2 linked regions of the Daphnia pulex genome follow. The protein of the gene in region 1 purifies or fractionates together with the protein of each later gene. This does not show direct contact. Links are inferred from orthologs where the notes say so. Each region holds a gene or a part of one and is shown on either strand. Other genes may lie near its edges.

Region 1 (2,943 bases):
TCAAACGGAGTACATATCGATTGGCGATTGGGTTTCGCTACTCTCATCCAATATACATAATAAAGTCAGCTGGAGAACCATCGATCTCTTTCGACTTTTCTATGCACACAGCTCTCTGCGGAATTGGAGTATCCTATATTGGGCAATGAAAATGTCATTCTAACTAGACCTTTAAATTTGCTATTCAACCTACAATTCTCTGATATTCGGCTGGTGCTGTTCTTCTATAGAAACAAATAAAATCAGACGGTACATTAAAAACATTCCCCACTACCTATGTTAAGTAATAAATGTTCGTATAAAACACGAAAGTCTAATTAATGATGCCTCACGTCTATTGGTGGAGGTTAGCTTTAAAAAAAATGCAGACAACGTAAAGCTTACAACGTCTTTGCTTCATCCGACTATATCATGCCTCTTGGCCAAATTCTTGATATTTTCTCCACAGATGATAAAACTTGTTTTTTTAAACTCCTTTTTAAATATGTTTCACCTAATTAATTTAATTGACTAGATGTCAATGTTTAACCTTCAAGCATATCATAATTATAATTTATGAGACTAAAAGAGAACATCTCCAAAACTCAAAGATCGCACAGTACCATTCAATACTCATTACTAGATTTTCCTGTTTTCACATTTACATCAGGAATGAAAACTAAACTTGGATTGCCTCTTCCATAGCTTTCTTGTAGAAATCCATATAAGGGGCATGGCAATAGTACTCACTAAGGATTGGATTAGAAAAAACATCCTTATCAAGTGTTTTAAAAATTGGTTGACCATTCCACTTGCCAACCTGAATGAAATGATGACCATTTTTTTAATATAGAAAAATTACAAAAATACAGGATATATGCATACCTCCCAGCCAGGGACATTGGCCATTAGTTTCTCCTCTTCATCTCGCAAAGCTCTGCAGTGCTTTAAGAATCTACAAAAAATTTAAGGAAATTACTTCTAAGAATTAGATTGTTGTATACTGATGAAATTTATAGTTTAAATTAATGCTTACGCTCTATCCTGTTCAGCCAACAGCAAAGGCAAGGTTGCTAAGTGAGAACCTTTTTTTTCAACCCTCCGATGGAGAATTCCAGGATAAAGATGGTTAAAGTAATAGTAGGTGGTGCAGCCATTGAGAATTATAAATCCAGCAAGCAACCTTCCTCCTGTATACACATTGTAAAAATATTGTAATTAGCAAATTAAGATGTAAGGTCTGTACTATTTGAACATAAAAAACCACATACATTGAAGGTAAATAAATCAAAACTATTCCACGAAAATGTAATCGAGACATACCTCTAAAGAATGTTTTTGCTGGATTACGAGCATACTGAATTTTTTCATATCCTCCAGGAGGTGGCAAATCTTGCTTGATGGTGGCATCCATCTTTGCTAACAGCTGGATACTGTTGTCTGTTGTAAACACCTGAATCAGCTATACAATCACCATCTGGCGGAAGATGGCAATAATCACAAATTTTCTGAGAAGGTAATTAAAATATTAATGCTGAAGATAAAAATATTTTCTTACTGTTCAAACTTCAAAGGAATAAGGGATGTTATTTTGATACCTTTTTTTTAGTTTCTGTGAGTTTATTGAATTAATATAAATGTATGGCAACTGCAGCAAAGTGCAGTTGTCGTTGTCATAGCGACGTGAAAATGGAATTGCAAAAGATGATTCAAATCAAAACAAACATATTCACTGCTGGTGATATTTTTCAGTTTACGTAACTACTACTTTTGATACTTGTCTTAATTCTTAAGTGACAAAAACTTCAAAAATGGATTTCCGGAAGAGTGATAGTCCAGATGAATACTACAAAGCGGTTCATCAACTTAAACAATTTTTGTCTGAAAGTGATAGTTCAGATCAACAAATTTATAGAAGTGGATTGAAGGTTGTATTAACTATTTCTAATGGTATAATCAAAACTGAATTGGTTCCTGTTCTTTGTGTACAGGCATCAGAAATAAGACGTGATCTTTCTTCATCAGAAAATTCAGAGACAAAATCACTTTCTGCTCGTAAAGCTCTCTTCAAGAGCCCAGTACCTCAAAAAAGTGGACTTTTGATTGAAGGAAATAGTTCAGATTACATTTTAACTGGAATGATTCAGAAGCAGATAATCTACATCAAAGCTTTGGAAAAAGAAGTGTCATTTTACAGGGTACTGCTGATATATTTACAGTTAATAATTTTTTGTTTTAAAATTTAAATGACAGTTTGGTTTTACAATACTTAACAGAAACAAGTACCTGGAATCATAAGTGAAACAAAGGTGATGATTTCAAATGAAGAGTCTAGTAGAATGGGCCAAGCAAATGTTGTGACACAAAGGCTATTTTCACTGATTGACACAATATCCAATGCAAAATTTTCTGTTAGTCATGAAAGTTGTGAAATTCAAAGAAAAAAAGTTTTGCAAGATTTAGCTGGAGCTCAACAACAGATCCAAGTGTTGAACCAACAATGGACAGAACATACTTGTTGGAATGGACAAAATAAATCAAAAACATCTGAAGACATCAGTAGGTATGGATCTCGTTTTCTATTACTTATTTTTATGTATGTTTTTGAACTTTTTTATGATGTAAAGAAATTATCAAAGGGTTAAGAATTTTCTGAAGTAGTCAACGTGGTAACGTGAAGTAATCGTGATAGCGTTTTTTAACACAAATGAAAGATTTTAGTTAATGAAAATTACATTCAAACTCTTCTCCTTCAATTGATTCAGAAACAGAAGGCTAGGTGGCGTAAGAAGGTTCGATTCGATTTTAAATCCTTTCTTGACGTTTTTCGTATTTTTACACCACGATTAATTTCCATTTACACAATTTCATCGATATTTTAATGTTCATATATAGATAAAGATGTTCTTTCTTTTTTGTTTTTAGTAGGAAAATCTATTGCTCCTTTTCCTATATCAAATTACA
Region 2 (2,854 bases), on another chromosome or scaffold:
CACTACACCCTAGACCCTACACTTGCAATATCTGATTTTAACACTCTTATCATGTTGTTACTATAAATACTTGCACAGCTATTTACAACAGCTAAATAACTGTTTTTTTTTCTTCTAAAATTACACACCCAACCGTAATCAGTCGTAAATACAAACTAGCGTTTGACACCTAGAATGACGCATTTTCCTTCAAAACAACTTGAACGCAAAGCAACGTCAAAACCCACTGGTTGGTAAGAATTTGAAAGCGTGACATACCTATCGTTCTATCCCGACGGAATTGCAATATTTCATCGTTTTAATCACTCCAAAGTATGAAAAACATCAAAAACAACATACACGCCCACAAGATGCTAGCCCACCAAGCAAAGAGGACTAACACTAATCTCTAAATTTTGGCAGTGCAATGATGGCGTGTCGGCGTTGCCAAGCCACCAAAAAGAGAAGCATCGTTTGAAAAAAATAAAATAAAATCTTCACGCACGCAGGAAAATTACAAATATGTTTTATACTTTATTGAAATGGTTTTTCTTTTTCCCTACAATTAAGTACATTCATTTTAAATCAGCTCTTAATTTTATGGTCTTCTATTTGGGGTTGGACTGCTGTTTCATTTGCTGCTGGTAAAGATTTCAAATCTATATAATCTTTGACCTCTATTGCAGTTTTGACTTTTGGTGGCTTGTAGTATTCAAAAGTTTTAAAGTGTTTTAAAATGTTTCCTAAAATAAAAATTATTGCTTATAAATTATTTGAATAAACTCATTGTTTTCTATACTATACCTGACACTATCGGGTGAATGGTGAATTCCTTTGCCAATGCCAGAGCATCATATTTAGCAGGATCCTGTTGATGTCTCCCGATAAGCACTAGTGCTTGGCGAATACTCAATTTCCCTCTTGTTACTCTGACAGGTTCTTGGTAACCAAATTCTGCTTGTTCAACACTTTTTCTGTGTGATGGAAGGGGCTTTTCTGTGCTTATAGGTATTTCTGGTTTGTCATGTGAAGTTACATAAACTTCTTTCAGGCGACTGTTTAAGGTCTCATCTTTATTGTTGGATTGTTCCTCCATCAAATGTGGATTATCTAATAAACAATAACTATTTTTAGAATACGAATCACTATTAATAAAATCTCAAAAATACGTACTTTTCATGATTTCGTCAATTCTCTTCTGTGTGGTAGGGTGCCATGGAGCCGATATTGGCTTTTCCTTTGCCAACACTCTTTCGGTACGCGCTTCCACAGCAAAATTCTTAAAGGGCCTCATAGCTCTTTTCGTAATTTTAGCAGTTATATTCCCCATTGCGATTGTGACGAACTTTTCAACTTTACAAATTCAAACGAATCTCGCAACTGAAAATATTAGGTAATACTAATACCAAAGGCAAATACCAAGTGCAAAAGCAGTCGACAATCAAAAGTGTATTTATTTCAGGTTGACGGCGAACGCCATCTCGTGTACATGAATGAAAATATAAACTTTGGAGGGAAGCAAAAAAAAATCAGATTGCCGGTAATGCCACTATTAGAACGTTTCGAAAAGTACAAATGAGGCGACTTGTTCCCCTGTGTTGACCACGTGAAGAATACCCGCTTTAAGGTCAACAAGTCTCGTAGACGAGTTGAGTAAAATGCGACTTGGAACATGGGGATTGCTTCTAAATTCGACGCTTCCTTTGAGTCGCACGACCTGTATAACAAAAAATTTTTTAAATAAAGATTTAAATCAGTTACACCAGTTAAAGTTACCATTATCGGGTTATTAATTTTCAGAGCAAAAACAATTTTTGGCAGTAGATGAACCAACGACATGCTGTGTTCAGCGTTAGACAGTTGCTGTACTCGTACAGGATCGCCGGGTGAGGCCAAATAAAGATTGAATTGCGTCCGTAGATGACTGCGGTTTGGCACCGGAAGTGTAGACGGATCAATGGCGGAACTTAATGGGGCTTGGTTCGTTGAATTCGCAGATCGGAGCATAGTTCTTTTCAGTACTTCTTCAATAAGTCCAGAATCTAAATCCAATGAATACTTTGACATACAATTCAAATTTTAAATGAACTATAAAAAAAAAATACCATCCCCATGGGCATAGATGTCGTTTTCGAGATCGTTCAACTGTTGCGAGGATTTTACAGGGGATTGGAGTCGTTTAGTTGACGACTGTTTCTTTGAAGAATCGGGGAATCTTCTTCTCTTTGACAAAGGAGTTTCCTCGCTTGATTCTTCTAAAGACAAAACAGTTTGTTTGTAAATAAACAAAAGAGTGTGCACTGCGAGGCAAATTTTGTTTAAAATTCAGTTATCATTACCGTTTGCACGAGATGTTGAAGGCCTAATAAGTGGAGTTTCCTTTTGCGATCTCTTGTGCAGTTCTGCATTTGCAACATCTTCTGGAATGCTAATAGACTGCTCAACTCTATTCGGTGAAGATTCCTTGACCAAAGTAAGCGTTCGCCTGGGAGTCCGGGGCGGTGGTACCGGTTCGGGTAGGAAACGGAATTTCGAAGTTTTGGGTGTACCCAATTCTGAAACTTTGTTAGCGACTGAGGCTGGCGTTTTTAAAGTGGCAGAAGGAACCGAAATTTTATGACTTTTTGTTTTCTGAGGACTGAGAAAAATGTTATCGTCTTCGCCATCATCTTCGTCGTGCTCTTCGTCTTCCACTTTGTCGTCCTCTTCGTCTTCCACTTTGTCGTCCTCTTCGTCTTCCACTTTGTCGTCCTCTTCGTCCCCAACTTCGTCCCCAACTTCGTCCTCCACTTCGTCCTCCACTTCGTCCTCTACTTCGTCCTCTACTTCAGATTCTGAGCTGCTCAAGAAACGGTACTTCCTTTCTACAAATACA

What was found.
Region 2: the proteins of NADH dehydrogenase [ubiquinone] 1 alpha subcomplex subunit 13-like (region 1) and protein NDUFAF4 homolog purify together in Homo sapiens (co-immunoprecipitation; 4 studies listed by BioGRID and IntAct, counting the BioPlex papers as one, with this or other methods). This does not show direct contact. The link is inferred for Daphnia pulex from reciprocal best matches to the Homo sapiens genes NDUFA13 and NDUFAF4.

Annotation. Positions count from the first base shown.
Region 1 is NC_060018.1:5,771,319-5,774,261, reverse strand, and holds NADH dehydrogenase [ubiquinone] 1 alpha subcomplex subunit 13-like, read right to left. Parts: upstream 1,463-2,943; 5' UTR 1,394-1,462; coding exon 1,303-1,393; intron 1,170-1,302; coding exon 1,016-1,169; intron 935-1,015; coding exon 865-934; intron 800-864; coding exon 659-799; 3' UTR 605-658; downstream 1-604. Other genes in the region: paramyosin-like, read left to right, coding at 1,791-1,907, 1,971-2,177, 2,256-2,542. UniProt on the Homo sapiens protein: Accessory subunit of the mitochondrial membrane respiratory chain NADH dehydrogenase (Complex I), that is believed not to be involved in catalysis. Complex I functions in the transfer of electrons from NADH to the respiratory chain.
Region 2 is NC_060022.1:721,940-724,793, forward strand, and holds protein NDUFAF4 homolog, read right to left. Parts: upstream 1,312-2,854; 5' UTR 1,310-1,311; coding exon 1,153-1,309; intron 1,090-1,152; coding exon 784-1,089; intron 723-783; coding exon 565-722; 3' UTR 501-564; downstream 1-500. Other genes in the region: bromodomain adjacent to zinc finger domain protein 2B-like, read right to left, coding at 1,532-1,696, 1,756-2,021, 2,085-2,234, 2,319-2,843. UniProt on the Homo sapiens protein: Involved in the assembly of mitochondrial NADH:ubiquinone oxidoreductase complex (complex I). May be involved in cell proliferation and survival of hormone-dependent tumor cells. May be a regulator of breast tumor cell invasion.